3 linked regions of the Rhinolophus ferrumequinum genome follow. The protein of the gene in region 3 interacts with the protein of the main gene of each other region in a pairwise test. Links are inferred from orthologs where the notes say so. Each region holds a gene or a part of one and is shown on either strand. Other genes may lie near its edges.

Region 1 (7,481 bases), on a different chromosome or scaffold from region 3:
TTACAAGTACAAGGGCTCACACTTCTTCAGAAATTACCTCAAAATTCTTCTAAAAATATTTATTAGATGTTTTTGAAATTATAACATGCTTATTATAAGAAATGAAATAACCTAGTTCAAAGTTGTTTAATGATGTGTGCATATAGAGGGTGGACCTCTACCAGGTTAACCAGTACGAACTTCAGAGGAAAGAGCAATTCCTGGAATTGTAATACAAACAAGTCTCCTTACCTATCTTGAAGATTTCTTTTTTCCTTAAAGAGTTCAAGAATTGTATCTGTATATGCTGTCTTTTTTCATCAAGATTATTTGTAATTCTAAAATCCTTTCAATCTGTAACCTCAGATCTTTCTTTGATTCAGGAAATTATTTTTTCAATTGTGATTTTTTTTTCTTCCATCTGTGCCTTTTCCTATTCTGGGATTCCTGTTATTCACAAGTTGGGTCTCCTGGATTTATCCTCCAACTCTCTTAAATACAAGATTCATTAAACCTCCATCTTTCCAGTTTCCTGTCTACCCTTTCCAAAGTTTTAGTAATAAAATATTTATAGTTAGAAATACTACAGAATTTGGATAAGGTCATCTACCAGTACTAAATGGGCAAAACACTCTTACTACAATAATTGCATAATTAAAAGACAAAGGAATATCAACAATAAATAAATATGAAAATTATTAAAGGATGTCACAAATATAGCAAGCATAAAATTAAATAATAATGGGCTAAATGACCCCATAAAAAGTTTGCTCAGAATTTCTTTTGAAATAGAACATCACCCCAATCGCTTTTCAAATAATATAAATTTCACAAAACACATTCAGCAATATCATTAATCACAAACTAAATACAGAATATTTTTATCTGTGTCTGAGAATCTTAAAGGGCCAGCACCTACAATCAGCTCCTTTCATTGATTTTTCCTGCTGCACTAAAGATTGGTGGCTCTAGGAGAGCATGAAGGGAGATGGGAGAGAATTCTTTCTTCTCTGAGTGTTCGTTCTTTAGAATCAAAAAGACTGTTGTGTTAATAATTAAGCATTGTAGTCAGAAAATAGAAACCCACCTAAATTTTTCATTGGTAAACATTTGTTTAAAAAAAATGGAAATACTGCTAGAACATTTTAAATTTGCTCCGCTCATTGCTAAAGAACATTGTTTGGGTGAATAATTTACTAAGTTTCAGAGGATAATCAGGCACTTGACACAAATGAGAACATCTGCAGTCTCTGCAGGAGTAATGAAATTACAGGGCTATCAATCCTTGTGCTTCAGGGCATGGGCTGATCACCAGCTGGAAGAGAGAAGATATCCCCTAGTATTTCTATAATATCATCAATTACATTCTGATGTTTATTTCCCTTTAAATACAACTCATGGGTGGGGGCAGTTTGAAAGTACATTATGGCCAAATAGTGCAACATGAAGGGAAAATCTTCAAAAGTTTACAGAAATATTTTAAAGAAATTATTATTTTTTTAAATTCCAGGGAAAGTAAGCAGAATAGCATAGAAATTAACAAAGATCATTTTGGGTATTTTATCACACACAGAGCCTGACAGAGAGTAGAACTCAGCGTTTGTTGAATGAATGAATGAATGAATGAATGAATGAACAAAGAAACAAACTTTCATGTGCCTGGGTTCAAATCCCAGCCTCACCAATATTCGACCTTGAGCACTTTGCTTATCTTAGTTTACTCATCTTTAAAATGGAGATAAGTGTACCTACCTCATCTTTTTATTACAGGGACTGAACTAGGTAATGCATGTAAATAAATAAACCCATTGCCTAGAGCAGAGTGAACACACAATAAAAACCAGTCATATTAAGGGCTCTCTTGGGATTGATATGTCTAATTCCTGAGGTCTAACAAATCATCTCAATATATTTCATAATAGATCAAATCTTTGCATATTGGCTATATTATAAATCTGTATTCTATTGAGTCTCTGTGGAAACCAAAAGCATATTACATCACAGACATTCCCTAAGACTATCCCTTATTCTGAACTAAGCATGAGCTTTGTGCTAATAAGCAGACCTCTTAGATGGTGTCTTCATCAGTTTGGGCTGCGGTAACAAATTGTCACAGACTGGGTAGCTTATAAACAACGGAAATTTATTTCTCACAATTCTGAAGTCTGGGAAGTATAAGATCAAGGTGCTGGCAGATTTGGTATCTGATGAGGACCTGTTTTCTCACAGGGTGGAAGGCACAAGGGAGCTTTCTTGGGCCACTTTTATAAGAGCACTAATCCCATACATGGAGGCTCTTTCCCCTGTGACCTAATCCGCTTCCAAAGGCGCCACCTCCTAATACCATCGCACTGGGGATTAGCATTTCAGGATATGAATTTTGGGGAGACACAAAAATTTAATCTATAGCAGATGGTATACTGTGATAAGCAAAATTCAAACTCATAAAAAGAGTAATAGCTGCTCACTTTGAAACGTCCAAAGCCTTGGCCCAAGGTTACTGTGACTTTGGGCCAAATGCATACGAAAGTCATAGAAAGAGTTGTAAATTAGGAGCAGTACTGACAATTCTTCCTAACAGTTTCTTAATACTTACCTGCCTGTTATTAGCAAATTTTCTTGGGACTCCTAAATTAGGTGTATCCTGCAGATACAGATAACGTTCCAAACCCAAACAAAGAAATTCTATGTAAACAGAGTACATATGCCTTTGGATATTCTGGATGCAACTAGCTAAAAGACAGGTTAAAAGTAAATTTTATAGCATTTGTGATAACATAACTTTAAATAACAATGAGAACATTTACCCCCAGTAATCAAGTGCTGTTGTTTGTTATTTTTATAAATTTTTACTGGGGAATATTGGGGAATAGTGTGTTTTTTCCAGGGCCCATCAGCTCCAAGTCAAGTCGCTGTCCTTCAGTCTAGTTGTGGAGGGCACAGCTCACTGGCCCATGTGGGAATCAAACTGGCAACCCTGTTGTTAAGAGCTGGAGTTCTACACAACTGAGCCATCCCGCTGCCCTCAAGTGCTGTTTTCATTGTAACTGAAAAGAGTGTTGGAGGGATAACCTAGTTTATTGGACTATTTTTCCAAGGGCAAGGTTATAAAAAGTCTTTTTTTCTGGGCAATAAAGTGGTTTTAAATTTAAAATGTAGCTGCATATCATCAAATTATCTTTTTTGAGAGATGGAAAATTAGAAGATTTCTTAGAACTTTGAGTTCTTGTTATTTATTTCATGAATCACTCAGCAAAAGGCAACCGTTTCATGAGTTACTACCACAGAATGTCATTATGTCACTTGACTTAACGATTTTTCTTTCTTTTTGTTCTCTATCATGAAATCAACAGTTCTGCTGGCAAGGGGCAGGACCAGATCTCTCCAGCAATGTTTGGGGAGAGGGAGGAGAAGGATGCTTAATATATGAGAACTAACACTAGGAAACCCCCACATCCCCCCACCCCCCATGGTCACTTAAGGAAACAGAAAGAACCCAGCATTCTAAGCTGTGGTAAATGCTCAGGCCACGTGACACCGAATAATGCCGTTTGGAGTCAAATACTGGGGCTCCTCATTAACACCGTGATTCATCTGGAGCTAGTTACTCAACTATGGGCCCTCAGGAATGGGCAATCCTTTCCTGCCTCAGCTGAACCAAAGGTCCTGCTGGCCTTGTGAAAGCTCAGTCAGACGCTGAGAGCCGGATGAGGACAAGCTTTGGGAGGCAGGGAGAGTGAAGAGGGGACCGAAGCACGTTCACACCATACGGTAGGAAGCCACTGGGCTAGCCCGAAGTGAAAGCGGGAAATGAATGGGGCACAGATTTGAACCAATGTACTGAGCCTTTACATAGGTCACGTGGTTTAAATCTCTAGGAAGCCGATACCATTAGACATCAGGGAGTGAGAGGGAAAGACGCTAAGAGGCTCTTGCCAGGGCTCCTGCACGGCGCCCTCAAACTCCCGGAAGGGGAGCGCCAGGGGCAAGCTTCAGCGGGTTCATGAGGAGGACAAAAGCCCGGCTGCCACACAGAAACGTAGGCCTGAGTGAGGACCAGTCAAGGCTGCCAGCAGCGGAAGGATAAGGTCGGCGCAGAGACCATAGCTGGAAGCCAAACGCAGACTGCTGGCGAGAAGCGCCAGCCCACTCGCTGCGCGGAGGGGTTTCTCACGCCCCCTGCTCCTGGGTGACTGCACCGGAGGTCGGAAGGAAGGGGGGCGAGGGATGAGTCATCCCGCCTAATACCTTCTTCCGGGTCCCTTCGCCAACGCACGCCAGCCCCCTCCCGAGATCATGCAGCGGGGAGCAAAGACTCCGCTCATCCTCAGTCCTCCACCAAACCCCCTGTGGCCTGCGGAGGAGAGGAGAAGAACGGGGCGTGTGGCCAATGAGAGCTTCGCTCCGTCGCTGCTGTCCAATGGGCGGGACCTAGGCGGGCAGGAGGGGGCGGTCCCGGGGTGGCGCTCAGCCCCGCGGTGCTGTAGCTCACCGAGAGCGGTTCACAGGGAGTCCGCGCCTCGGCTACGCGAAGAGGCGCCGCCGCTGCCACCGCCGCCGCTGCTGGCCAAGGTGCTGGACACGACAGGCCGGTGGCCACCTCGCCAGCTCAGCCACCCGTTGCAGCCGCCGCTGCCTTGCTCCCAGCCGGGTCCCCATGGAAGAGATGGAAGAAGAGTTAAAATGCCCCGTGTGCGGGTCCTTCTATCGGGAGCCCATCATCCTGCCCTGCTCTCACAATTTATGTCAGGCGTGCGCCCGCAACATCCTGGTGCAAACCCCGGAGTCTGAGTCCCCCCAGAGCCGTCGGGCCTCAGGCTCCGGTGTCTCCGACTATGACTACCTGGACCTGGACAAGATGAGCCTGTACAGCGAGGCGGACAGCGGCTATGGTTCCTACGGGGGTTTCGCCAGCGCCCCCACTACCCCGTGCCAGAAGTCCCCCAACGGCGTCCGCGTGTTTCCCCCGGCTATGCCTCCACCGGCCACCCACCTGTCACCGGCCTTGGCCCCAGTGCCCCGCAACTCCTGTATCACCTGCCCCCAGTGCCACCGCAGCCTCATCCTAGATGACCGGGGGCTCCGCGGCTTCCCCAAGAACCGCGTCCTGGAAGGGGTAATTGACCGCTACCAGCAGAGCAAAGCCGCGGCTCTCAAGTGCCAGCTCTGCGAGAAGGCGCCCAAGGAGGCTACCGTCATGTGCGAACAGTGCGATGTCTTCTACTGCGATCCGTGCCGCTTGCGCTGCCACCCGCCCCGGGGGCCCCTAGCCAAGCACCGCCTGGTGCCCCCGGCCCAGGGCCGCGTGAGCCGACGGCTGAGCCCGCGCAAGGTTTCCACCTGCACAGACCACGAGCTTGAGAACCACAGCATGTACTGCGTGCAGTGCAAGATGCCCGTGTGCTACCAGTGCTTGGAGGAGGGCAAACACTCCAGCCACGAAGTCAAGGCTCTAGGGGCCATGTGGAAACTGCACAAGGTGAGTCCTAAGAAAACCCTGCCCTAACTCCCCGCGCCTCCGATCCTCCAGTTTTGCAGCATAAAGTCCTCTTCTTTTGCGCACAGTGCATCCCAGCTGGGGCGCAATGCAGGTGCCTACAATATTTGCTTCCCCCGTATGGTGCATTGCAGGAATCGCAGGGTGATCTTAAACCACGTACTGGGGAGTTGACTGTCCCCACAGAGTTGTTGCGGGGGTGCTTTAGAGCAGGTCTCCCCGGGCGCGCAGCTTGCGAGGTAGGCGCAGGACGCCCCCTCTCCGCTGCGGATGTGCAGCTCGCGGCTGAGGGCCAGCATGCAGGAAAGCGTTGCGTGACTGGGTAGAGCGGCGCCAGTGCCCTACTAGGCCGACAGTGCCCCTCCAAGGCCGACAGTGCCCCTCCAGAGCAGAGCCGGCTGCGGGGCTCTGGCCGTGGTCCCCGGGAGACGGTGGGGGAGGTTGGGTGGTGCGGACCGCCGGGGGCTGGAGCTGTTAGGCAGGCGCGATGAGTCACCGCCAGGGCGGGAGAAACGCGGCGGGAGGAATATTGATGAGTTCTCGCTGGCCCAGACCCTGCGAACCAGCTAGAGGGGTTGCGAGTCGAGGTGCTATGCTCTCAGGAGGCAGAGGAGTGGGGTGGGGAAATCCTATGGTCGCCTTGGCAACACGGCTTGCAGGCTGCTATCCTAATCCTCCCGGAGGGGACCTGTGGCTGGAATACGTAGCAGCAGGACCGAAGATTTCTGTGTGGTCGAGGCCTGAAAGCTAGTCAGGCGTGTCTTCCAGGGTAACCCCCTCCTCCCAAACACCCACACACCCATTTGTCTGGGAGTCAACCCTTTTCCTCTTTCAGGAGTTGTCTGTGCAGACTTTCAGACACCTGTTACCGGATTTATCTTTCCGGTCTTTTCTGATGGCGCCTACACCAAAGCTCGCTTCAAGAAAAGTGCCTTTAACGTTGTAGGTCATGCCACTCCTCTACTCAAAATCCTCCAATCATCCCCCGTGTTTCTCAGGCAGTCCTTAGAAGGGTCCATCAGGACCTACGGGACCTGTTCCTCTTTGGCCTCATCAACCTCATTTCCTCCCACCCATTCCCTCTGCTCCAGCCACAGTGTCCCTCTTGCTGTTCCCCAACCAACACCAGGTACCTCTGGCCCCAGGGCCTTTGCATTGATGTTCCGTCCACCTGAGATGCTCTTCCCCAAAATCTTATATACATATCCAATTGGCTCACTCTCTCACCTCCTTCAGATCTTTGCTCAGATGTCTTCTTTGCCACAATTGCTAACTTTCCTGAACACAATTGCTGCCACTCACCTCAAACACTCGTTAGTTCCCTCCCTGCTTTTTCTCAATAGTAGTTACCACTACCTGGCATGTATATAGTTTAGTGATCATGTGGTTTTGTATATCTATTGCTTCCCTCCCTGTTCCCCCCACTGGAAAATAAGCTTCAAGAGGAAAGAGATCTTTATGTTATGCCAACATGCTTGGAAGGAAGGGAAGCACTCTTGAGATGTGCCTTAATTTGACTTCTACTTTTTAAATAATCCACTTAGTTGGGGGTGTGAAGGGAAGGGCAGGAGTTTAGGATTCTTCTAGGGAGGGTTTCTTCACATCATTTAATTGTAAGCCTAAGGATAAGGCAGGCAGTAAAGATGGTGTTCAGCCATTCCCTGGAGACTGGAAAGCCTAGCTTTTAAGAGAGGCCATTGATATTTTATTTACAGAGAGAGAAAAAAAAGCACCATTTTCAGCAATCAGGAAGGTTTTCTCAACTCAATATTAATTGAATGTGATTCACGTTTACAGTCATTTGTGTTCTTACATATAACCTGTTAAACCATATTAGTCCTAATGGAGATTTAATTCTGCACAAACTTGAGCCCTACGAGGCATATGTCACTATTTTGAAAATGCTTCAATTTAATTTTTTTAGGAGACACTTAATTTTGAAAGTTTTAAAAATTTAGTTTGTGGCCAACTGTTATTTCATTTTATGATATCACTCTTAAACAGC
Region 2 (7,345 bases), on a different chromosome or scaffold from region 3:
TCAGAGCTTTAAGGAAACTTCCTACTCATGTGCCAAAACTGATATCCCTACTTCATCTTATTAACAACCATCATTTATTAAGCACCTCTATAATAAGCCAGGCACTGGTCTAGGAGTCCATTTAGGTACGTGCTCTCATTCAACCTCACAGTAACCATACCAGGTAGGTATGATCCTTCCATTTTATGGGTGTAACAACTGAGGCTTAAGGAGATTAAGCAACTTGCCCAAGGTCACACAGCTTGTAAATGGTGGAAAGACCAGGGAATCAGCTAAGGCCTGGAGGATTACAAAGTCTGTGCTCTTCTCCTTTCTCTAAACTACAAGGCCAGTCCTGGGGTATAAACCTCCTTGATCTTGATGTTTTGGAGTTGCTTTAGCTTTGGGGGTTCCATAAATAGAAGTCCACAGGCTTATAAAGGTTGCTAGCAAAAAATGCAAGCTTATACGTTTTCCAGATTTAACAAAGGAACACATTTTTTAAACAGTCCATGTATATAACAGGAATACATTGTTTTCAAACAAGAAGTTAGATTTTACATTGTAAATTATAAACTAGAGTCATATAAAAACAGGTGTGAAGTTCCACTGGGTTGAGTCATATGAAACTGCTGTATTTGTAGGTCAGAACAACCCAAAAGGTTGTGCTGCAACTACAGACAATTCACCCCAATAATAGAGGTCTAGTTCTAGGCTCTACCGGGCCCGATGTAGGCCCATTCACAACACACCTGCAGTGTACACACTTCATGCCTGTGTGTGGCCTCTCGTGGATACTGTACCTGAGCAGAAGCTGTTGCTGCTAATGGTCCTTGCTGACCGCCCAGAGCTGCTGGGGTTGAACTCTCTGCTCTCTTCCTCCGAGAAGGGAGACTCTGAGGCTGGGGACACTTTGTGCTGCTGCTGGGGCAGATGGGGCCGAAGAATCAAACGGGGAATTCGGCTTCGGGAAATCTCCTTCTCATGATGCTGCCCTCTCTGCTCCTTTTCAAAATTGGACATCAAAAGAGAAAACAAAAGAAGAAACTTGTTTCCCTCTCCGAACTTCTCTGCTCCTTGTGGGCTCAGTTTCTAAGAAATCACATGTCTGAACACTGAATCTTCACAGAGTAGTTCTTATCTCAGTAGCTGAAATGAGCTCCAAAACTCATCTACAGAACTAACCCTTCTCATCTACTGAAGAGCACACACTGGAGCAAGGATGAAAATGGACGGACACACACACACACACACACACACACACACGAGCCCACACACTTCCACCACTGGCAGAAAGGCCATCCCACTCTTCCATGCCATTCCTGACTCACCTTCCTGCTCTAGTTTTTTCATTCACATTCAAGCTTTCGGCTCTCTCAAAGGCTTTTTATTACTCACAGCACACTACTTGATTTCCTTTAGACTTCCATTTTGCTGTCCCTGAATTAGCTGCAACAATTTGACTTCTGTTTTCCCATCTCCTCACAAAGTAGACCCCTGTACCTGGAACAATTCTTTCCCGATAGATCATGCAGCCTTATCTTTCAAATCCCTCCTCTTCCGGCCAGGATCTTAATTATTCATTAATATCCTGGTACACAAGGCTTGTTGCCAACAGAAAAGCAAACAAAAATCCAATACCCGGTAAGATGGCTCCACCTTTTACATCATGTTTAGCTTTTGTTTTCCTTACAGGACACCCACGAGAATAGATTTTTTTTTCCTCTCTACTTAAAACCACAGCATTAAATATAGAGGGCGGTGACTTGGTTTAAAAAGAAATGCATGAAAGTAATATTTTGGCAGTGTTTTTCCACTTTTAAAGTGCTTTCCCAACCATTATCTTATTTTATCCTTATAACCCAGACCACCGAGAGGACACTAATTTGTGTCCCGATTTACAGATGAGGAAACTGAGGCTAAAAGAGGTGAAGATGCTTAGCCAACACAGCATGTCATCTAGATGCAGAACAGCCCTGAACTCCAGTGCTTTTCCAGGTTACCACCACTCTGCCTTATTAAAATGGTTTCCTAGGAGGATCTCTTTACAAAAAACCCCACTGCTCCCTCCAACCTCTGCAATTGAAAATGGGTTTTGGATTAGGTAACAAACACTATTTTGAAACATGACCTCCTGCTCCTTTCCACGCTGCTTACCAGGAAGGGTCGCTGCCAAAGTAAACATCTCTAGGAGGCCCGCACAGTGCAGGAACTGAAGGGAAAGCCCAGCCGCGAAGAACTCCTGAGGTTGCTCAGGCATCCAGCCTATCCAGGGGCGAGAGCCGCACCCAGTGTCTGGATTTGTCAAGCACATCAGTCACCCAGCAGGTATCACACGTCTGCCACAGGGCTTGGCAGACTGCATACCCTGAACCAATACTGTCTGGATCGCTGACATGCCGGAGTCCTCATTTCTCAGTCACCAATACATGAAAACGTTTTTATTCACATCACACACACACACACACACACACACACACACACACACACACACACATCAATTCAGAGCTAGATCCCAAATTCCCAATTTCAGGAGATGGGATTAACCCTCCAAAGGCAATGTTTTAAATCCTTGTCAACCCCCCAAATCTTGTCCTACCTAAGCACCTACCCATCTCCCGGGTCTCATCACTTGAGCAAATGTCCCTCGCTTCCCATCCTCCTCACCACCTCCTGTCCCCGTTTACCCCACTCTAAACGCCACCCCTCCAGCTCGTACCTGGCCCTTCTCGCCCTGCCGTGGTCACCTTCCCTCTCCCTCCAGCTCTCGCGCACACTGCCACCCGCGTCCACACTACGTGCCTTCCTTACCTTGCTCTCTCGTAGGGGTCCCATCGCGCTGCTGCCCTCCGGCTCCCCGCGCCGCCGCTGTCGCCGTCCAGGAGGCACCTGCTTGCACTGGGGCGAGAAGACTGCGGTGAGCTGGCGCGGGGTGCAGGACGCGGCTGCTGCGGGTCCGACGAGCCGCCGCCACTGCCACGGTTCGCGCTCCGCTGCGAGGGCGCACCCGTCCGCCCCGCCCCGGCCGGACACGTGGTGCCGCCGCCGCCCGCTGCTGCCCCTGGGGCGCCGCCCCGTTCCCCCGGACCTCCCTCACCTGCCGGCCCCCGAACGACCCGTCCGTGCCTCGGTTCACCCCGCCCGCCCGATTTCGCCGCTGGCACTTCCCCCAGGTGCCAGGCGCCCCTCCCTCTCTGCCGATCCTGACCCGAAGGGGGCAGGCGAGGCTCGGAGCATCTGCAGCCGGGAGGTTCCCGACACCCTCTTTTTGGCACCTGGTATCCGGTTGGAAGGCGGTGCACGTCGGATGGAAGAGCAGAGAAAATCTGCGACATCACTGAGAGCCAAAATGGAGAAAGAGAAAGTTTTCCCTCACGGCCCCTCCCTGCCCTCTCGGTTTTAAGTCAGCACACGGCTGCCCACAATTACCTCCCCCGAGAGAGACAGGGCGGGTCCCCCTCCACCCGGACCCCAGCCAAGCCAGTGCTGCAGGACTGACACAGCATCTGGGTTCCGGGATCTCAAAGGCTGCTTGCTATTCCCCTTGGGTGGTTTGCATCAGAAGGGCCTTGGGTTGGAAGCGCAGCGCCCCAGGCTAAGAACGAGGAGGCGGTTCCCGCGGGCTTGGGGAGCCAAGCTGTTTAGGGCGAGAGCAGCCTTTTCTCCAATTCTGCTCAGCAGCCGCCAGAGAGAGAGAGAGCCCTAGGCACCCAGCTACAGGAAGGACACTGCACTTGAATTTATGAAGCCCGGTTCGGGGCACCACTTCCCTCCTTTCAAGCTGAGTATCTTTGTGCCTCAAGTTTTTGACCTCTCTGAACTTGACCTCTCTGAAATTCATTTTCATTCTCGTGAAATTCAATAATAATAATAATAATAATAATAATAATAATAATAATAATATCTACCTCAAAGGGTAGCTGTGAGGATTAGATGAGGAAAACAAAAGAGCTGTACCCAGCAGACGGAATAGAAATTTCCAAAGGGCAGTTAAGTCACCTTCAGGCTGTCCATTCTACTTGCTGAGGCCTCTTACATGACAGGAAAAGTATTTGTGAGACAGACCAATTTGTTCAAAAAAGCTTCAAAACCTGTCCAACTGAGGACTTAGAATAGGAATCATCAGCTGGATCATGGGCCTTGATTTATTATTTTGCTTGGTGTACTGAAATCTTACCTGGTGATAGAAGTCAACATGTATAATAACTTAGATGCCATTTATTCAGAATTGGAGAGCATTCTAAGTAGCAATATGGGTGGGAACAGTCTGATCCTCACACCCAAGTGTCCTGCATGATCCTTAAAAATCGTATTTGAACTTTCAACATCCCCATTTTTCTGCTCTCCAAATAGCATTTGTCTCAGTCTTCAATTCTCAAAGTCTACAAATGCACAGTATGAGTCTAGAGAGAGCCTGAAGTCAGGATTAGTGGAATCAATTTCTTTTTCCTACATTTCCAAAGCAATTTTACTCCATACATCTTCATACCTTTTCAATCTACTTAGCTCTCTTAAGCAGTGGGGTTGGTGATCCTAGGATTTTTTTATTTGGGAGGAAAGCATGATTAATTTATACTTTCTATATCCATAGCTGTCCTCAGATATGGATGTCAGGAAAGTGATGGTCCAGGATGACTTCTATAATTTATGATTAGGTTGGTGCAAACGTAATTGCAGTTTTTGCAATTATTTTTAATGCTTTAAACCACAATTACTTTTGCACCAACCTAATATTTCCAAAATTATAAGCCTGGGAACATATACTGTGAGATAGGAATGAACTGTTAAGGTCAAAAGGTGCTTCTGAATTCCCTACTAAGAACTGAGAATTGAGGCTTGCGGCCTAATGTCAGAAACATCCTTCACTGACCTGTCCAATCAGGACCTCAGAGTCCTTCTTGGCTTCTCCCTCCCGTGACCCCCAGATAGCAGCCATCGCCACGTGATCTCCACACTACCCTAATAATAATGTCTTGAATCTGATTACTTCTGTCTACTGATCAACTGCATGATCTTCATTTAGAGTCTCAACCACAAACATCCTGGATTATTGCAATAGTGATCTAACTCAAGTGGTCTTGCTTCCAATCTTGCCTCATTCCTTTCTCACCAGTTTTTCAAATTTTCCCCACAAGGCCTTCTTTCAAAGGCCTTGTCATACTTCTTCGTTAAAACCCTTCTTCATGTCATACTTCTTCATTAAAACCCACTAACAACTTCCTGGTTATCTTCTACATAATATTCAAACTCCTTAATGTGGCACAAAGGCCTTTCATGATTTGTCCTTATTTACCTCTCCGATCTCATTTCTTGCCACTCTTCTCTCTCTACCCTGCACCTCCTGCCTTCACTACCCACCGGTCCTTTGCAAATGGATACCCCTAAACTAGAATTTTCAATTCTCTGGAGGTATCTGTTCTTTTTTCCTCTAGACTGTTGCACATGATGGTCCTTTTGTTTAGAACCCTTCTTGTATCCCACCCACCCATCCTTCTCAACTCCTTAGGTTACATTAAGTTTCATGTTAGAGATAGCGTCTTCCAGGAAACCTCCCCAAGAAGGGTCAGGTGCTCCCCTTACATACTTCCAGGACACCTCGTATTTAATTTATCCCAGTAGAGCTGTTATTCTCTTGTATCAGAATTCCCTATTTATTTGTCTGTCTTCACCAGGGATTATTGGCAGTGTCTGGTACAGGTCCTGTCACATGAATAGTCAAATGAATGAATACATAGAATGAATGAATTCTATAACACCATAAGGGGCCCATCAGTACAGGATAAAGAAAACAGACACAACTTCTGCTCTGAAAATGACTCAGGGAAAGCTGCCTCATTATGTCTTTGTATTTGATGATGGGGTATGTGCCTAAAAAATCCAACATGTGTTCAATGAAAGCTTTTACTGCAGAAGTGCAGGCAGTGAGAGGCTGTGTGGTAGCCCTGTTGTCACCATAGCAACCCTGCTGAAGGAAAGGCTGATGATTTAGTGTTCAAATGCTTCTTAGCTCTGTACTTTTGGAACCCAAGCCTGTTTTTCCACTGTTCTAAAAGGCAAGTTTTACAAATGATAATATCTATGTTGCCTTTAGTTTCATTCAAGTGTTTCTCATGTCATCAAGAGAAATGTCTTACAACGTCTGGATTATACCATCAAAGAGATATCATCTAATACAGTATATTATATTCATCTTCATCTGCTTTACAACATTCTCATGCGTCATTTTCAGTGTCTACTTACATACTCATTGTCTGGTTTTGTAGCTTTGTGGCTTTTCCTTTAGAAATGAATGTAATGCTGGTTTTTAGAAGGTATCAGTTGCTTCTGAAGGCTAGAACTCTTCAAGATTATAAATAAGATCCCTGCCCAGGCCTGGGGAGGAACAGGGGAGATAGGGTATTGCAGATTGGGAGAAAAGAAATGTGTCTATGCCCCCAAATCTGGTATAAATTATTTGATTCTTTATGTGAAATTGGTAATTAAATGACTCATACCTTTCATTTGCACACAACTTTATATTTTTAGATCTCTTTCACATATATAATCTTCTTTGAACCTCACAAAAATCCTGTGAGGAGCATGTGGCCAATTCCTGAAACCAGATAAGTGATAAAGGACAGGTTTTTATGTACAGGAGCACCCCCACCACCACCCCTGACTGCCAACTTCACAGAAAGACAATACAAATGCACTGCCAAAGAGAAAACATCTGTACCATACAACCGAGACAACGTGGTCCCCACATCCACTCTTCCTCACAGCTCACCTGAGTATACTGGGGGCTTTCTGGGACTCAGTCAGGGCCGACAAAGCACCATCTCCTAATCCTACAAGCTGTGCGAGCAAGCACTGCTGTCTCTCTCAGTGACCCGATGTTGTGTGATCTGCACAGCAACAACAAGCAGCTGACGTGCTTTACAACACGTCATGAAGAAAAGAAACTGCACTCTGGGGCATCCTGGGATTTCTTTTTTTTTTTGTGGTAGGGTGCAGACCTATGCTTTTCTTACCAGGGAAAGCGCTGTCCATTTTCCCATAAAAACATGTGTGAGTGGTCAACCCTCCTCTTATTGTATGTATTGTTACTATATGGTTAAAGGATTTTGATGTTGTAAAACTGTCGTGAGTAGAATTCTGCAACATCACTCCCCGACGAGGGGTAGAGAGGGGAGTGCGTACCGTGAGGCAAGGCTGGCTTTAACACCCATTGGGTTCAGAGTGTGTCAATTATTTCTGCTCTACAAATGAATTTTCAGTCAGAGGTATCTCCCAGATGAAGAACAGGAATTAATGGCAAGTCCAGGTGAGAAGGCAGAGGTTGGGGCCTTTGAAGACTGATAAGGATACAGTCTTCTGCTTGCCTGAT
Region 3 (8,005 bases):
TTTTCCGAAGGAAATGTAGTATTTCATGTGTGAGCTCGCTTAGGAAATTCTACTTCTAACACCATATCTATGGGAAAATAAATTATGAGTTTTAAATAAATGACTTACAATGAATTTTTATAACAAAATGACACTTGCAAACTAGGTATCTCCTCTATTTTTCTCAATCTGTGAAAAGTTGATCTCTGTTCCAACTCAAAAAATTTTCGCACAAAAATCAGATCTTCCCTGTTTCACCGCATCTCAGCCTCTAGTCCTCTGACCTCCCTCTCCTTCCTATTCTCTTTGCCCATCTGGCCTCCAGCTTAATTTCTTTTCCAACCTAGCCTGGAAGCAGTGTTCATTTCTCTACACCCACATTTTTATTATTACTCCTTCAATTATTTTGCTCTGTTTGTAGACCAGTTCTCCCTGTTACAAATTTCCACTCTCCACTTCTCTTGGGCTAACGAATGCTGTTTAAGAAGGCCATATGTCCTTCTTCACTGCATTCATTACAAATGTCTAAGACCAGTCAAAGCTAAACTTTCAGTGTTGCTCAGCAATCCTTGAACATTTCCTTCAATGATTCCTCTTCCTACTCCCCATCAATGTTGTTGCAAATGCTTATTCTTTCAACCCCCAACTCCAGTGTCTACCTCCTACCTCTCTGCAAATGAACTTCACCATTTACTCTGCAGAGAATACAGAAGCCATGAAGTAGAATTTTCCCCAATTGCTTTCCTCTCCCTCTCTACATCTTCACTCCATTCTGCCTATTACAAAATATCCCTGTTATTAATTCTTTAGTATGTTCTACGACCTACACACTATGTTAAAAGCTCTACTCCATTCTATGCCCAAGCTACACAAGATACTGGTCAGTTTCCTATCTCTGAGTTTTGTTCATGCAATTTCCTTTTCTTGGAATTCTTAACTCCCTGGGAAATTCCAACTCATCCCTCAAAAGTCCTGCTAAAATGTTATCTCTTCTGTGAAGCCGTCACACACACAAAAACAATAATTCCCTTACTACTGCTCTAACATTTCCTCTCTACTTTGCTAACATACCACTTTTAAGTGATATATTCTAGTTAGTTGTATGAAAAGTAGCTCCTTGTAGGCAAACAAGGAGCTTACTTATCTTTGTATTATTACTTATCTTTGTATTATTAGAACTTGGCAAAGTTCTAATTTGGCAAAGATGTAGCAGGCATTTAATAAATTAACCAAAATGATAGTACCAAATAACATGATAACTGCTGCTTCTCTAAGATTCCCCCTTTCCCACTCTCACATCTGTAAGCAAATGTCCAGGTTCAAAATCTGTCATATTTGATTCTCCTCCTCCATTGACAACATGAAATTTGCTACCACATTCTGTTGATTTCGCCTCATCTACACATAAGTTGTCCTTCCATTCTGTTCCCACTGCCAACACACTAACCCAGGTTCACATCAACTATATTTAACACTACAGTATCTGATTATCTCTTTGCAAGCTTCCACAACTCCAAGTCCCTCCACAAACAAGTAATATTAAAACAGCTTTCATCACAACATGCTCAGTGTTTCACTCAAGTTCCCAAATACAAACCTCCCACTCCAAACCCTCTCATTCATTCTGGTATTTAAGTCTTTGCTTAGGTGCTTTTCCATATCCAAACCCAAATTACACTTCATGGTTTATATGAAGTTGATTCAATAAAGATCTTCATCCAAATTGATCTCTCCTCTCAATTGCTATAACACTTACTGTATTAACTAATCAATCAAGCACTTGCTGTCTAATTGCTTCATGAAATCCTAAGTTTGTGGATCTCGAGAACTTTCTTGAAAGAGAGAGACAGAGAGAGAGAAATCCAGGAGGAGAGAGAGACACTCGGGCATAGTTTTATGTTCTTTCTTAGTAGGTACCTAACAAATACCTCTTGAGGTAACCTCAATTGAATAGTAAAAACTGGTCAAATGAATGATTGTTAGTGGTCAACATTTACCACACAATCCCTCCTTGGTTAAAAGTACAACTGATTGTATAGTAAGTGGGGAAAAGGGAGGCCTGGGAATCCCTCATAAAGGAGTTAGGCATAATGAGAGCCACTACAGGACCCCCATTCATTCAGTGAATACTGATGTCTACTAAGTGGGAGGCACTGCTCTAAGTTACAGCGGTGAATATGACAGACATGTTCATGAAGACCCCCCACCGCACTTACATTTTAAGGGTGCAGTGATTAACTCTACAGGCTTTAGAGTACTTTTCTCTTAAGTCAATGAACACGTCACTAGAGATCCTCTAAACCTATCTTCCAGATTTAAGAATCCATGTCTGACCACATTCCAGAGGCAGGCACACACGGCTTCCTCTGTGTCGGTTCCTGTTTCCTTACATTCAGTCGGACCTTACATTGCATGACAAGTAGCTGGTCCATGTGAGTACCTATGTGGATTGGGCCCCGTATGCTCTCAAGACGTCTCAACGCGTGGAGCCCTGTCATCCAGAAGAGAAAACTGTGCACGGACACAGGGAAATGTACGCCAGACATTTAGCAGGAAATGTGGATTTGGACAAAGGAGAAGGCACTGTCACGCCCTCCTCTCCCGGTCCACGCCGAAGAGCAAATGATCAGGGCCGTTTTGCCCAAAGAAAACATGGTTGCTATGGGCGGATCCATAAAGAGGTACGTGAGGATTGTTCTCCCAAGCCCCAGGACAGCAAAGAGCTGAGGTGCTACGAGCGGGCTTTGCGCCTTACCCAGACAGGCGGGGAAAGGAAGGGACGGCTGATAACGGAGGGAGGTAGACCCCGGGAGAAGAGCCACTAGGGGAACTGAGGAGCCTCCTCAGACCATGGCGCCCGCCAGTCCGCTCGTCTGTCCGCCGCCGCCGGCACTACTGGCAGCCGCGGCCCAAGGCTTACCGCAAGGCGCGACCCAGCCAGGCTGGGCCGAGGCGGCTGTTCCAAGACAGAGACCAGATGCGGCGGGGCGGCCACCGATACTAAGATGTGCCCCTCAATGGAGCGGTGAACCGGAAGCAACCGTTCCACCACTACTTCCCATATCCGGCCATGTGACAAACCTCCGCGCCGGAAGTCTATCCGGTGGAATGGTGATAGGCGTGGGGAGGCGGGGCAAGGTCTCGCTGGAGGGCGTGTCAAGGACAGGCAGGGGCGGGGCCTCTCGCTTGGAGACTGACCTGGGACCTGGAGATTTATTTCATTTCATTTTTTTTTTAAAGTTCTTTGGGGTGACAATTATTAGTAAAATTACAAAGATTTCAGGTGTACAATTCTGTTTTACATCATCTATAAATCCCATTGTGTGTTCACCACCCAGAGTCAGTTCTCCTTCCATCACCATATATTTGATCCCCTTTACCCTCATCTCCCGCCCCCCCTTCCCCCTTTCCCTCTGGTAACCACTAAACTATGGTCTGTGTCTATGAGTTTTTTCTTCTCATTTGATTGTCTTGTTCTTTTGTTGTTTTTGGTTCATATACCATATATCAGTGAAATCATATGGTTCTCTGCTTTTTCTGTCTGACTTATTTCGCTTAGCATTATATTCTCAAGATCCATCCATGTTGTCACAAATGGTCCTATTTCACCTTTTTTTACAGCCAAATAGTATTCCAGTGTATATATATACCACAACTTCTTTATCCATTCATCTATCGAAGGACATTTTGGTTGTTTCCATGTCTTGGCCACCGTAAACAAAGCTGCAATGAACATTGGAGCACAAGTGTCTTTATGGATAAATGTTTTCAGATTTTTTGGATAGATACCCAGGAGAGGGATTGCTGGGTCATATGATAATTCTATTCGTAATTTTTTGAGGAACCTCCACACTACCTTCCATAATGGCTGCACCAGTCTGCATTCCCACCAAGAGTGTATGAGGGTTCCTTTTTCTCCACAGCCTCTCCAACACTTGTTACTATTTGTCTTGTTGATGGTAGTCACTCTGACTGGGGTGAGGTGATATCTCATTGTGGTTTTTATTTGCATTTCTCTGATGATTAGTGTTGTTGAGCATTTTTTCATATGTCTATTTGCCATTTGTATGTCCTCTTTGGAGAAATGTCTCTTCAGGTCCTCTGCCCAATTTTCAATTGGGTTGTTTGTTTGTTTTTTGTTGAGTTGCATGAGTTCCTTGTATATTTTGGATATTAGCCCCTTATCGGAGGCACTGTTTGCAAAAATCTTCTCCCATTCAGTTGGTTGCCTCTTTATTTTGTCGATGGTTTATTTTGCTGTGCAGAAGCTTTTAAGTTTCATATAGTCCCATTCGTTTATTTTAGCTTTTACTTCCCTTGCATTTGGAGTCAAATTCATAAAATGCTCTTTGAACCCAAAGTCCATAAGTTTAGTACCTATGTTTTCTTCTATGCAGTTTATTGTGTCAGGTCTTATGCTTAAGTCTTTGATCCATTTTGAATTAATTTTGGTACATGGTGACAGTTTCATTCTTTTGCACGTGGCTATCCAATTCTGCCTGCACCATTTATTGAAGAGTCTGTCTTTTCTCCATTGTATGTTTTTTGCTTCTTTGTCAAAAATTATCTGTCCATATTTATGTGGTTTTATTTCTGGGTTCTCAATTCTATTCCATTGGTCTATGTGTCTGTTTTTCTGCCAATACCATGCTGTTTTGATTATTGTAGCCCTGTAGTACAAGCTAAAGTCAGGGAGTGTGATACCTCCAGTATTATTCTTTTTTCTTAAGATTGCTTTGGCTATTCGGGGTCTTTTGTGGTTCCAAACAAATCTGATGATTTTTTGTTCTACTTCTTTACAAAATACCATTGGGATTTTGATGGAGATTGCATTAAATCTGTATATTGCTTTGGGTAATATGGCTATTTTAACTATGTTGATTCTTCCAATCCATGAGCACGGAATATCTTTCCATTTCTTTGTGTCTTCTTCAATGTCTTTTAAAAATGTCTTGTAGTTTTCAGCATATAGGTCTTTCACATCCTTTGTTAAGTTTCTTCCTAGGTATTTTATTCTTTTTGCTGCAATTGCAAAAGGAATTGTTTTTTGTATTTCTTTTTCTGAGATTTCATTGTTAGTATATAGGAATACAATGGAGTTTGTACGTTGATTTTGTAGCTGGCAACTTTACTGTATTCGTTGATTGTTTCTACTAGCTTTTTGGTGGAGTCTTTAGGGTTTTCTATATATAGCATCATGTCATCTGCAAAGAGTGACAATTTAACTTTTTCATTCCCAATTTGGATGCCTTTTATTTCTTTCTCTTGCCTGATTGCTCTGGCAAGGACCTCTAACACTATGTTGAAAAGCAGAGGTGATAGGGGACAGCCCTGTCGTGTTCCTGAACGTAGAGCAAAGAATTTCAGTTTTTCACTGTTAATTATGAGATTAGCTGAGAGGGCTTGTCATATATGGCCTTTATTATGTTAAGGTATTTTCCTTCTATATCTACCTTATTAAGTGTTTTAATCATAAATGGATGTTGTATCTTGTCAAATGCTTTTTCTGCATCAATTAATACAATCATATGATTTTTGTACTTTATTTTGTTTATGTGATGTATCACATTGATGGATTTTGGTATGTTGAACCATCCTTGTGCCCCTGGGATGAACCCCAATTGGTCGTGATGAATAATCTTTTTAATGTATTGCTGCATTCGATTTGCTAGAGTTTTGTTTAGGATGTTTGCATCTGTATTCAGCAGAGATATTGGTCTGTAGTTTTCTTTTTTTGTGTTATCCTTACCAGGTTTTAGTATCAGGGTAATGTTGGTCTCATAAAATGAGTTAGGGACTACTTTCTCTTTCTCAGTTTTTTGGAAGAGTTTGAGCAGGATTGGTATTAGATCCTCTTTGAAGGTTTGGTAGAATTCTCTAGTGAAGGCATCTGGTCCTGGACTTTTGCTTTTGGGAAGGATTTGGATGACTGATTCAATTTCATTACTGGTGATCGGTCTATTTAGATTTTCCAATTCTTCATGGTTCAGCCTAGGAAGGCTGTATGTTTCTAAGAACTTGTCCATTTCTTCTAGGTTATTGAATTTGGTGGCATATAGTCCTTCATAGTATTCTTGGATTGGAATGATTTTTCATTAAATATCTGCATGGCTCATGACTGCATCCCTTTCAAGCCTTCACCCACGTGTTACCTCATTGAGGTCTTTCATGATAGCCCTATTTAAGGTAGTATTCTTTATCTTTCTTTTTTGCTTTGTTTTCTTCGTGCTTCTTATTACATCTTGACATACTATGACATTACATCCTGATGTATATGTTATTTGTTTGTTGGTTAGTATATTTGCTCTTTCCCTTTCTCTAGAATGGCTTTTGAGAGCAAGGACTTTTGTCTTTTTGTTCTTTGGTGTATTCCCTGTTCCTAGAACTCATACCAATGCTCTTATTATGTTCAGTGTACTATTCTAAGCACTTTATATTGACTAATTTAGTCCTCACAACAACCCCATAAGGCAGGAATCTTTATTATCCTCATTTTAAAGACTAATAAATGGAGGCATAGAATAATTAATTCTTTAGCCTAAGGACAAATAGGAGGCACACATAGTAGTATTTCAATGACTATGTCTTTATCTTACCACAGTCATCTGCACGTATAGACTTGGGAAGCAACTTAAAATAGTGGAAAGTACATGGCCACTGGGGCCATGAAGACCTGGGTTTAAATCTGGTCTTTATTGGTTCATTGACCACAGGGCAAGTTATTTACCTCTTCTGAGCCCCAGTTTCCTCATTTTTAAAATTAAAAATAATCCCCATCTTTTGGGACTCTCATGCAATTTGCTATTTCTTATAAAGCCCTTGGCACATCGCTTGGCACATAGCAAGCACTCAAATGGTAGCTATTATTACATGCCATTTAGTTTAGAAGAGTGAACTGGATAGATTTATGTCCTTAAAAAACATATAATAGTCACTCAGGCCCTGAGGTCCTGTTTCCCTTTCATAGACAGAAGGCTGTACATGTTAACATATATCATGTATGAGGCAATCTCATATTCGGATAGCATGAAATATTTTTTCCATTGTTAATAAGCTCCAAGGGAAAAGCTCTTCTAAATGGCCAAGAGTGGTGAATATTGATGATTTAACAATACTGGCAGGATTACTGAAGTTAATGTTTCCTTAGAGAAATGACTCAATACAGTATATCGATCAAGCAGAGGTGTGGAGTTTGTGGAAACTTGATGATCGCAGAGCACTCAGAGTAACCACACTCATTTGGTAACTTGAGGGAAAAAGGGAGTCCATTTTCCTTAGCTTGAAAGCCAGCAGGAAGGAAGAAGTGTCCTACTGTCTCCAGGGTTCTGCCTGATGAAGCACCAATGGACGGGTAGCGCACCTGGCTTTGTGTATTTGTTTAGTGAGAAAACCCCATAGATCTCACAGAAGTGGGCTTTCACACAACCTACTTTGACCGTGGTCAAAACTCTCCCTTAATTTAAGTCTGATTGGTTTCAATTTGAGTATGAGGTCAAGGGTCTTTATATGTTTGAAGAAATCATATGGGTTCATATAATTCTACTTTTTCTTTATTCCTAATTATGTGGACTTTTATTACATCAGTTAGTTTGTTTTTCTTTTTTAAAATTTTTTAAGCAGTGTTTTCTTGTAATTCAGTTATGCACATTCCTATCTAAGACATGAAAAATCTTTTCAGATGTTATCAGACTATTAGTATCAAAACAAAGAACATCAAGTTTTTTTTGTTGTTGTTTGTTTGTTTTTTAGAACAGTGAGAATCACAGTGACCCACTTTCCATATTCTTTCTCTATAAATTGCTGTAGCAGTGACAGCATGACAGAAGAGCTTCTACTGTTATGGGCATAAAGCAATTGGTGTTTGTTTTAGGTTTTATTAGAAACAAATGTAAATATCCCCACATAATACTTTTTATTTTTTTGCAACTTTATAGAAGGAAGCCAGAGAGTCACTAAATTAGAATGGTAATTATCTACATCACTCTTAAATAAATATTAAAAATAAATATTAACCGATAACAGATGC

The links.
Region 1: the proteins of EXOC1 (region 3) and TRIM9 interact in a two-hybrid assay, tested with the Homo sapiens proteins (2 studies listed by BioGRID and IntAct). The link is inferred for Rhinolophus ferrumequinum from reciprocal best matches to the Homo sapiens genes EXOC1 and TRIM9.
Region 2: the proteins of EXOC1 (region 3) and SYBU interact in a two-hybrid assay, tested with the Homo sapiens proteins (2 studies listed by BioGRID and IntAct). The link is inferred for Rhinolophus ferrumequinum from reciprocal best matches to the Homo sapiens genes EXOC1 and SYBU.

Annotation. Positions count from the first base shown.
Region 1 is NC_046289.1:41,274,319-41,281,799, forward strand, and holds the start of TRIM9 (E3 ubiquitin-protein ligase TRIM9), read left to right. Parts: upstream 1-4,091; 5' UTR 4,092-4,636; coding exon 4,637-5,458; intron 5,459-7,481. UniProt on the Homo sapiens protein: E3 ubiquitin-protein ligase which ubiquitinates itself in cooperation with an E2 enzyme UBE2D2/UBC4 and serves as a targeting signal for proteasomal degradation.
Region 2 is NC_046297.1:50,072,160-50,079,504, forward strand, and holds the start of SYBU (syntabulin), read right to left. Parts: upstream 3,391-7,345; 5' UTR 3,315-3,390; coding exon 3,255-3,314; intron 3,096-3,254; exon of another isoform or gene 3,077-3,095; intron 2,878-3,076; coding exon 2,791-2,877; intron 2,721-2,790; exon of another isoform or gene 2,699-2,720; intron 2,275-2,698; exon of another isoform or gene 2,137-2,274; intron 1,642-2,136; exon of another isoform or gene 1,621-1,641; intron 1,504-1,620; exon of another isoform or gene 1,311-1,503; intron 985-1,310; coding exon 783-984; intron 1-782. UniProt on the Homo sapiens protein: Part of a kinesin motor-adapter complex that is critical for the anterograde axonal transport of active zone components and contributes to activity-dependent presynaptic assembly during neuronal development.
Region 3 is NC_046288.1:17,845,692-17,853,696, reverse strand, and holds the start of EXOC1 (exocyst complex component 1), read right to left. Parts: upstream 3,038-8,005; 5' UTR 2,735-3,037; intron 1-2,734.